Saccharomyces cerevisiae S288C: one gene and its partner. Changing the gene in region 1 together with any one later gene gives a genetic interaction. Each region holds a gene or a part of one and is shown on either strand. Other genes may lie near its edges.

Region 1 (7,702 bases):
GTAACAAGCCAAAGTTCTGATAGTATCTTGAAGGGTTTCACCTTTCTTGACAGAAGACACCAATGGATTAACATTTACAATTCTACCACCCAAACGTTCCATAGCAGCAATGAATGAAGAACAAGTACGAGTAGATGGTTCAAAGAAAATTGTAGTAATAACGTGGCCTTTCATTAAATCTAAGACACCTTCTCTTGCGACAGCTGCCCTTAGTTCTTGTGCAACAGCAAACAACACATGGAAATCAGAACGTTTGAATTGTTTGATAGACAATATATGTCTTCCGCGGAATGGATTGTTACTACGGATCAAATTCTGGATGGCGCCTGGAGCAACAAGTTCTCTTGGTGGCCTTGAAGACATCAATTTTTGTTCCAAAGGCTGTTCTGGAATTGCATCCTCCGCGGCATCTAAATTATCAGCGATTGCTTCTTCCGTGATCGAGAACCTTCTTTTAGCACTAGTAGATTGGAGCTCTGCGGAAGCAGTTATGGAAGCTGGACTTGGATTAACAATGCATTTTCCTTTGGCGCCTGGTGAAACTAATTCACCGCTCAAAACTAATGTTTCGCCATTATAGACAACACGCTCAATACCACCGTTCATATCTTTGTTGAATGGTGACCATCTCTTATTACGTCTGAAAGAATAATCCAAATCAATTTCGACAACTGAGTCCTGAGTAGGGATGTTGAAAATTTTAGCGGGATTGTCATGCAGACGAAGGACGATATCATCAATGGTTAATTTACCTTCTTCAACAGCAGCCAACAATAGTGGTAATGAATCTTTGATACCCATACCAACATCAACCTTGTTACCTGTGACATTTGCCAAGGCGACAGGAAGAGCACCGACAGAGAAAGCATCGATACTATCAAGGTTGTTCCAGAAAAACTCTTGATCTTCCTTAGTAGGCAAGAAAACTGCCTCCGGATAGTCATCTTGGGCAATAAACAAAGAATAAATATTGACATCACAAGTCACTCTAGGGTCTTTTGCCTTGACCGTCATGATCAAAGCTAAATCTTCCTTATTCGAAACACCAGTAATGTGAATAGATCTGTTTTGAAGGGAGGTTAACAATAAAACCGATGCCAAATCTGCAGTTTTAGCTTCTGCAATCACTTGCTTTTCAGTTGGCCACTGATTCAGAAGTTCAGCTACTGCTGTGATCTTGTTCTTTAATTCACGTAGGGGCAAAAACAATGCTGTCACTTTGCTAGCAGATTGCGTAACACTATGAGCATTGTGTGCTGTACCAGCAATAGTGAAAGAAAAGTCAGTGTAAGATGAATCTTGGGAAACAGAGTTTGCGGCCTTCAAGGATGCAACGTCAGTAATAACAGGTCCGCTGATGGATCTGGGCATCAATTGACAGTATGTAAAACCGGATTCCAAAAATAGACGTGTGGTCTCCTTCAGTTCAGCTGGGCCTTTGATAACATGGGATGCATTCGGAACATAAGTTGCGATATTGATTAAACCAGGTAAGGTAATAGTTCTGTGGGAAGTTTGTGCATCACGTTCAGAAACATCTAAAGTGATATTTCTTGAAATGGCTTCAATCAACAATTTTGCACATTTAACGTTAGTAACCAACGGAACCGAATAATCGACAGCCAAACGACGTGTTTTATACCCCTTTGAAACATAGGATGCAGGACGACGGAACCTGTTGGCAGAAGGCAAGTTGATGTAAAGGTCAATTTCATTATTAGCCAAATGTTGAGTAAGTGAGTATTCTGATTTTTGATCATCATCATCCTTGTTTAAAACCTCCAGATATTGGACGGCAATACCATGTTCAGATAAAAAGTCAGCAGTACCTGATGTTGCAAATAATTTATATCCCATGTTGTATAGTTTTTGTACGGAAGAAAGCAATTCTTGTTTTTCCTTGTAAGAACCAATAGACAATAAAATATTCTTCTTTGGAAGTTTGAAGCCGGTTGCCAACAAAGACTTTAAGTATGCTTCATACTTCGAGTGGCCAAAAGTAGCGACTTCACCAGTAGAGGCCATTTCAACACCTAAGACTGGATCAGCTCCTGCTAAACGTGGGAAAGAGAATTGTGGTACTTTAACGGCGACATAATCATCTGGTAATTTTTCAACAGGATAAGGCGTCAAAGGCAAACCCATTATGGCCTTTGTTGCCAATTCAATCAGATTGACGCCAACAACCTTTGAAATGAATGGGAAAGATCTCGAAGCACGAACATTACATTCTATGACCTTGATTTCATTGTCCTTTGCAATGAATTGGATGTTGTATGGACCTGTAATTTTCAAAGCCTTACCAATTTTAGCAGTGGCGACAACAATTCTATCCACAGTTTCAGGAGCCAAATCTTGAGGTGGAACGATTAATGTTGCATCACCCGAGTGGACACCTGCATTTTCAACATGCTCAGAGACAACATGCATAACCAATTCACCATTTCTTGCAACTGCATCCATTTCAATCTCCTTTGCGTTTTCAATATATTTAGTGATAACAACAGGATAATCACGTGAAACTTCGACGGCTTGGTTTAAGTAGGATTCCAAATCGTTTTTAGAATAAACAGTATTCATGGCGGCACCGGATAACACATAAGATGGACGTACCAAAACTGGATAACCCACCTTTTCGGCAAAAGATTCAGCTTCGTCCATGGATGTCAATTCTTTCCAAGCTGGTTGGTCAACACCAATTTGATCCAACATACGAGAGAACTTGTAACGGTTTTCAGCAGAATCAATCATGTCAGGGGATGTACCAAGAATCTTTACATTTTCACGATGTAAAGTCATGGCGATGTTGTTGGAAGTTTGACCACCCATTGATACGACAACACCGCTTGAGTTTTCAATCTCGTAAATATCCAAAACTCTTTCAAGGTTGATGGTTTCAAAGTATAGTCTATCAGCCTCATCATAATCTGTGGAAACAGTTTCTGGATTATAGTTGACCATGATAGTTTTGATATTGTTGGCACGTAATGTTCTAACTGCAGTAACAGCACACCAATCAAATTCGACAGAAGAACCGATACGGTAAACACCAGAACCCAAGACCATAACACCGTGGTCATCAAAGGATAAATCGTGTGAGTCAGCATTGTATGTCATGTATAAATAGTTCGTGTAAGCGGGGAATTCAGCGGCAACTGTATCAATTTGTTTGACAAATGGTGTAATTCCATATTCTTTTCTTAATCTACGGATGGCAACTTCGTTGGAATCCAAAAATCTTGCAATCTGTCTGTCATCAAAACCTAACTGCTTAGCCTGTCTTAAAACTAAGGAAGGTAATTCCTCTTTAGTACCAAATGAACTAATTTTCTCAGCAAATTGGACCAAATCGTGCAGTTTGTTTAAAAACCACTTATCAATTCTAGTCATTTCCCAGACTTTATCAACAGAATATCCCTTCTTAGCAAAAGCATTTGCAATGGCGAAGACACGCATATCCGTAGGGTTGTTCAACTCGTAATCAATGTCGATATCTAGATCTGTCTCATTGAATCCGAGGTTAGCATATTCTGTGGATCTGATAGCTTTTTGAATAGCTTCTTCGAAGGTTCTACCGATGCTCATAACTTCACCAACAGATTTCATTGATGAAGATAATTCGGTAGAAACTCTGGTGAACTTCTTCAAATCCCATCTTGGCATTTTGACAACACAGTAGTCTAGAGAAGGTTCAAAACAAGCACATGTGGATTTTGTGACGGAATTCTTAACTTCATTTAATGGGATATTCAAACCTAACTTAGCCGCAGTGTAGGCCAATGGGTAACCAGTAGCCTTAGAAGCTAAAGCAGAGGAACGTGACAAACGCGCATTAACTTCAATGATGCAATAATCCTTAGAAACGGGATTTAAAGCATATTGGATATTACATTCACCAACAACACCTAAGTGTCTAATAACATTAACAGCAGTAGTTCTTAACATATTGTAATCTTCATCAGATAAAGTTTGAGATGGGGCTACAACGATGGAATCACCGGTGTGAATACCTAGTGGATCAAAATTTTCCATATTACAAACAGTAATACAGTTGTCAAAAGCATCACGAACAACTTCATATTCGACTTCTTTCCAACCTTTCATAGATTTCTCGACTAAAACTTGAGGTGAGGATGAAAATGCAACATTACATAGATCAACCAATTCTTTTTCATTATTAGCGAAACCGGAACCTAAACCTCCCAATGCATATGCAGCACGTACAATAACTGGGAAACCGATCTCCTTGACAGCGGCCAATGCCTCGTCCACTGAATTAGCAGCTTGAGATTTCGCACATTTTTCATTAATTTCGTCAATGGCATTACTGAAGAGTTCACGGTCTTCCGTGGTAATAATAGTATCGATTGGAGTACCCAATACTTTAACTCCTAACGCCTCAAATTCATCTTTCATGGCTATACCAACAGATAAAGCAGTTTGTCCACCAAATGTCACATAAATGGCGTCCGGCCTTTCATGTAAAATAACTTTTCTCACGAACTCTGCAGTAACAGGAACAAAATAAACCTTATCAGCCAACCCTTTCGAAGTTTGGATGGTAGCAATGTTTGGATTAATTAAAATTGTATAGATACCTTCTTCTTTCAAAGCTTTGATGGCTTGAGAACCAGAGTAGTCAAATTCACCAGCTTGACCGATGGACAAACCACCAGAACCGAGAACTAGAACCTTCTTCGCTTCGATTCTAGGGTGTGCCTTAACGTTATCCTCTAATAGGCCACCTGGGAAAGCGATTGGTTTCAACACTTGTGTATACTTGAATTCTTTAACTGCTTGGATAAAAACGTCAAACAAGAATTCTGTATCTCTTGGGCCAGGTGTGGATTCTGGATGGAATTGGACGGAAAAATAAGGTAATTCAGAATGATAGATACCTTCGTTAGAGTCATCATTCGCGTTAACAAACAATGGCTTCCATCCGGAAGTTAGAGTGTCAACATCCACAGCGAACCCATGGTTTTGAGATGTTATGTAACAACGACCACTTATAGTTGATGTACAAGGTATGTTATGACCACGGTTACCAAATTTTAGTTTTAGGGTGGATGCACCGGCAGCTCTTGCTATCAATTGATGACCGAGACAAATACCGAATACTGGCGTCTTTTTAGCCTCCAGGACATTTGACAATCTTTGAGATAGATCATCTAGAACAGATGGATCACCTGGACCATTTGAAATAAACAGACCATCATAATCTTCTTTAGTGAAATCGTAGTTCCATGGAACAACTTTCAATTCTACACCCCTTTTGATAAAACAACGAATTTGATTGTATTTCATACCCACGTCAATGGCTAGAATCCTTAAAACTTTACCATCGGGTCCGGTTTGCAATTCGATGTGCTTATTGTCTGCTGGAGGAACGTACAATTTAGGTTCATTGATGGAGACCTTAGAAACTAGGTTTTGAACATTTGGATCCACCCATTCAGGAACATCAAACGCACTTCTCCAAGAGGAAGATCTGGAGATGGTTCTGTCAGAGCCGCTTTTTTCCAAAGACAACCTACCCAACATTGAACCTGCATCTCTCAAATGCTTGGTCAATGATCTTGTATCAACACCATAAACAGCTGGGATCCCTTCATTTTGTAACCATTTACCTAAGGAAGATTTAGCAAGATAATGAGAGTACTCGTCGGTATAGTGAGAAATAACTAAACCGGCAATATGGATTCTATTACTTTCAAAATATCTTGGCAATTCTTCGACCAATTCATCTCTCAAGTGCATATCTGGGACACCATAATTGCCTACCAATGGGTAAGTGATGACTAAGATCTGGCCTTCATAAGATGGATCGGTCACAGATTCAGGATAACCAACCATACCAGTTTGGAAAACTAATTCACCAGCGACGGATTTCTCAGCACCAAATGAATAACCTTGTAAGACCGTGCCGTCCTTAAGTTCCAACGTAACCAGACGGTCACCCGTAGATTCCATTGGAGGGGTGATTGGAGCAGTGGGAGCAATAGTGGCCATATTATGATTGTTATATTCTATTAGGTAAGGTTTATGTGTTGTATGCTGCAATTAGTTATGGATTTCTATCGTCGTTAATATTAATGTTAGTAATTGTTGATCGTTCAAGCCAGATGCCGATATAAAATCAGAACTAATTGAAGAGATTGATTTGCTTTCGTGCCATGAAGATCTCTATCAATTGCGATTCTTTTCTTTTTTTTTTCTTTCTTTTTTTTCTTTCCTATTCCAGGTAATGAAAAACGACATCATCGCAGAGTCAAACGGCTTCTATTTTCCACGCCCAGATACTAAAATACGCGCCCACTGATATTGCGACTGGCATCGCATGGTCTGAATAGATGGCAACATTAAGGCTTCTCAAAAGTAATCATAAAAAACATACTCAAATTTGAATGCTAACGGATTATAATGTTTCCTTTTTCTTTCAATTCAAAGTTGAACGTGGTGAGTCTTTAACAAAAGAGTAGAAGTATTTATAAGTTTTTTTGGCTAGATATAGCGGTATTCCTCAATTCTTTCTCAAGTGCTTCCGTAGAGAAAATGTTCAGGAAACCTTTTGTTTGTGGTTGTTGTCGACAGGTTTTTTATTTTCTACAATCAAGAATAAGATAAAAATACAAGACCATTAGGAAAGACGATAATTTGAAAGAAAATTGGTGTAGTTAAAACATACTAGATATGATATTATACTAATTGAGCAAAATAGAGAAGGAAAGAGAGGATTCTCTCTCTGAGTAAAATCGATGAGTGGGGATTTTGTCAAAGTATTTATACTTTTTGTCCATACCATTTGTCCTACTTTTTTACCGTTTTTTTTTTTTTCAAGGCCAGGGAAAAAAGAGTCATTGCGTTTGTGTGACATTTCTTTTAATATTCATCGGAGAACACCGGCGGGCCACAGAGAAAAAAAAAAAGTCCATATTCCATGTACACTGCAAATAACCAAGATTTTTCATTTTTCACGAAAAGAGGGACAATGTACTAATGGCGTTGACGATGACGAAAGCACCATTTTGGACATTGTATGTCGTACATTATCGTAGAGAGATTCGGTTGTCTTTAAGGGACCGAAAAAAAGAAAGAAATCTTAGGACATCAGAAATGTACGTAGGCAAATGTATATCACAATGTTACTAATCAAGGTTAAAAAAAAAAAATCCTTTTAATGCTTAATTACCTTCTTAAATATTGAGTACGAAAACCTATTTCTAAAGAATGAGTATATATGTTAGAGCGTTGTGCTGCTCCTTTTAGGATTTCGGGAATGTGTGGTCTTACGCTTAAGAGCTCCCCAACGATGTTTCACATCAGTGAAACTTCTCTTGAAATGTTCCGTCATTGGGTCTTCTGTATTGGTTCTAGCCTGTCTCTTCAATTTCATGCCCTCAAGGTGGTCAATATGTTCAAGTCTATCACTAGGCAAGATAATTGCACGATCCAGTGAGTATGGTAGACCTCTATTCTTGCCTCTGATCAGCATAGCTATGATCACCAACTTAGATAATGTAGTAAACTGTCTTGAAAACGATTGGTTGGTGTCCGGATAACCTAGCGATAGCCCAACTGTACCGTAAGCGCTAACAATTTCAAAAAGAATTGCAAATATATTAAAGTTTGGTTCTTGTACGTCCTTTATCTTGTCCCCTTCACAAATGCAAATGATAAATAACCCTAAAAATAGAAACCA
Region 2 (3,726 bases), on another chromosome or scaffold:
TATTTCCATCCCTGCTACCTATTACTTTGACGGCTTTATGGAGAATTTTATGGATTCCATTGGTTATTATTTGGCTATTTATATTGCCATTGCATGTTCAGAGCATTTTATTTATAGGCGTTCCTTCAGTGCTTACAATATTGATGATTGGGATAATTGGGAGCATCTACCTATCGGTATCGCAGGTACTGCTGCCTTAATTGCTGGTGCCTTTGGAGTAGCGTTGGGTATGTGCCAAACTTATTGGGTTGGTGAGATCAGTCGTTTGATCGGAGAGTACGGCGGTGACATTGGGTTCGAGTTAGGCGGAAGTTGGGCGTTCATCATCTATAACATTGTAAGACCTTTAGAACTCAAATATTTCGGTCGATGACTAAATGTTAATTGATTAATATTTTTGCTAATCATTGAAATGATTGGTTTTAATGGATAAATCTCGACATTCGAATAGATAGCATATAATTCAAAAACGATTATAATGGGATATATATATAAGTTTAATAATATTAACTCCCTTCCCATTTCTTGAAGAGAAGAGATGTGTTAACTCCTCCAAATCCGAAGCTGTTGCATAATGCGTACTTCGGATTAGCTCCCACAATAGGTTTGTCTCTTATGAAATGTAGCTTATCGGCCTCGTTATTTTCTAGAGTCAGAACATTGTCCAGGTTTAAGGTATGCGGCATCTTATCATCCTTCAAGGAACAAATTGTAAATATACTTTCTACGGCGCCAGCTGCACCTAAAAGATGGCCAATTGCACCTTTGTTACTGGATATGTACAGTGGCTTGCTTTTGGATCTTCCTGGTAAGAGTGCTGAGGCTACTGCCAGACACTCTGCTTTATCGCCTAGTAAAGTTGATGTAGCATGTGCATTGACGTAGTCAACATCAGTTGGTTCTAATCTAGCCATTTTTAGAGCCATCTCTATTGCTCTTTTGGCACCATTTCCATCAGCAGGAGGGGAGGTAATATGGCAGGCATCACTGCTTAAACCATAGCCCACGAGCTCAGAAATTATGTTTGCATTTCTCTTTTGAGCATGTTCTAGCGATTCCATGACAATCATTCCGCATCCTTCACCAAGTACGAATCCAGAACGTTGTGTATCAAAGGGTCTAGAGATCCCGTTTGTAGTAATCGACTTTGCTCTGATGAAACCTGCTAAACTTAACGGATGCAAACTCGTTTCACTTGCACCGGCGACACAGATGTCTTGCATGCCTAACCGAATAAAATTGAATGCATCGCCAATGGAGTTATTACCTGTTGCGCATGCTGTGGAAACACTATGGGATAATCCTCTAAGGTTAAACTTGATGGAAACATTACCAGCTGCCATATTTGTAAGGATTTTAGGGACGAAATATGGATTTATTCTTTTATTGTCGTTATGGAATTGTAGAGAAGTTTGGTATATGTCTTGAATGGATCCTATACCAGAACCTATCAGGCAACCAAAGTGATCCAGATTGCACAGAGATGTATTGATGGTTATATCATTTGGGTTCAAGAGACCAGCATTGTGAAGCGCTTCATAAGTTGTACGTAGTGCTAGCTTGATAAAGCTTGAGGTTCTTCTCTCATCCTGGCTAGTGAACAGCAGTTTATTGATGGCTGAATTTTCGTTTTGAAAATTCTCTGGAATCTTCCCCACTGTTATCGTTGATGGGATACTTTTTTCTCTGAGTTTGTAGTCCTCATTATAGTTGGGCAAAGATGTGATTGGTGTGAGTCCATTTTTGGAAGAGAGCAGATTCCCCCATGACTCACTTAATGATCTTCCCAACGGCGTTACACAGCCCAATCCTGTGATAACCACTCTTCTTGACATTTCTTTACTAGAAATTAAATTTTAATCCGTTGTGGCTCCTGTCACTTTCAAGTTGCTAATAACCTGATAACGTTTAAGGATTTTACTTCCTTTTTTATCATTTATTTTTCTGAGATGAGACAGAGTCAGAAATAATAGCACACTATATGTTTTAAAAAAAAAAATCTATCTACGTATTTATTTAATCAATAAGATGTGATTTTATAAATGTGTCGTTTTTTAGCATCATTACTTGTTTTGTGGCGAATATAGAATAGGACTGTATCTGAGAATTATTACTCAAATATGTTCGATTTTAGAGGATTACCATTTCAACAGATCGTCCTTAGCATATAAGTAGTCGTCAAAAATGAATTCAACTTCGTCTGTTTCGGCATTGTAGCCGCCAACTCTGATGGATTCGTGGTTTTTGACAATGATGTCACAGCCTTTTTCCTTTAGGAAGTCCAAGTCGAAAGTAGTGGCAATACCAATGATCTTACAACCGGCGGCTTTTCCGGCGGCAATACCTGCTGGAGCGTCTTCAAATACTACTACCTTAGATTTGGAAGGGTCTTGCTCATTGATCGGATATCCTAAGCCATTCCTGCCCTTCAGATATGGTTCTGGATGAGGCTTACCCTGTTTGACATCATTAGCGGTAATGAAGTACTTTGGTCTCCTGATTCCCAGATGCTCGAACCATTTTTGTGCCATATCACGGGTACCGGAAGTTGCCACAGCCCATTTCTCTTTTGGTAGAGCGTTCAAAGCGTTGCACAGCTTAACTGCACCTGGGACTTCAATGGATTTTTCACCGTACTTGACCGGAATTTCAGCTTCTAATTTGTTAACATACTCTTCATTGGCAAAGTCTGGAGCGAACTTAGCAATGGCATCAAACGTTCTCCAACCATGCGAGACTTGGATAACGTGTTCAGCATCGAAATAAGGTTTGTCCTTACCGAAATCCCTCCAGAATGCAGCAATGGCTGGTTGAGAGATGATAATGGTACCGTCGACGTCGAACAAAGCGGCGTTAACTTTCAAAGATAGAGGTTTAGTAGTCAATCCCATTCCGAATATTGTTTTTATTGTTTTATGTTTTTCCACTGATCTGGTAAACACTAGCTGGTTGGCGCTATTAATATGAAAAGAGTTAGACCAAATTGAGTAGAAAAGAAACCTTTGGCAATCCTAACTATGTTGTTTTAGCTTGTGTATTTAAGCGCATATATATATATTTCTGAAAATGACAACATCAAAAGAAACGAACTTATTTAGAATAAAAAGAAACGACTTGGCTTCTTATTATTCCTACTTTACGTCACGTGGGAGGCCCGTTTAGGGGGGCAGCTATGTAGTTTTTCCGAGCGTACTTTCTTTCAGCATCCGAAAAGTCCTCACTTGACGGCTTACACGGAAACGCCGCGGATTGTGGGGCACAGATGATGACGCAGACGGAACACTGCAGAAATCTTTTTACCTTGTCGTTAAAGACGATATTAGAGAGAAGAGTTTGGCTGGGGACAAAGTGCCAGCTTTTCGTTCAGGGCGAGGTGCCAAAATACTTGAGAAGGCCAAACCCCAAAGGACAGGGCCAAATACGTACGCTACGGTAATATCTAATGGGAGAGGGTATAACATTGACCATTTTCGAAGGAGGCATAGGAATTTAGACGCTGATGGATGTTATCAATATTGAAGTTTTTCACCGTTTCCCTCTTTCTCTGCTCCTTTAAAGAACGCAAAGTCTCCTCTTGAGAGAAAGCAGACGATTGGAATTGGTATCTTTCACGTAGCATTGCTTAACCTACGGCCATATTAATGATATGAAGTCATATGAAAATGGCCGAGGCCAGCGGTTCATTCGAGGATATATATTTTATTACCCGGCGTCTCTAGCCGAAGT

Evidence for each region.
Region 2: mutations in URA2 (region 1) and CEM1 together harm fitness more than expected from each alone (negative genetic interaction), as found in Saccharomyces cerevisiae (3 studies listed by BioGRID).

Annotation. Positions count from the first base shown.
Region 1 is NC_001142.9:166,356-174,057, forward strand, and holds the start of URA2 (bifunctional carbamoylphosphate synthetase/aspartate transcarbamylase), read right to left. Parts: upstream 6,013-7,702; coding exon 1-6,012. Other genes in the region: TRK1 (Trk1p), read right to left, coding at 7,244-7,702. UniProt on the Saccharomyces cerevisiae protein: Multifunctional protein that encodes the first 2 enzymatic activities of the de novo pyrimidine pathway: carbamoylphosphate synthetase (CPSase; EC 6.3.5.5) and aspartate transcarbamylase (ATCase; EC 2.1.3.2).
Region 2 is NC_001137.3:277,792-281,517, forward strand, and holds CEM1 (fatty acid synthase CEM1), read right to left. Parts: upstream 1,836-3,726; coding exon 507-1,835; downstream 1-506. Other genes in the region: FCY22 (purine-cytosine permease), read left to right, coding at 1-373; glycerol-1-phosphatase GPP2, read right to left, coding at 2,139-2,891. UniProt on the Saccharomyces cerevisiae protein: Possibly involved in the synthesis of a specialized molecule, probably related to a fatty acid, which is essential for mitochondrial respiration. Is essential for oxygen uptake and the presence of cytochromes A and B.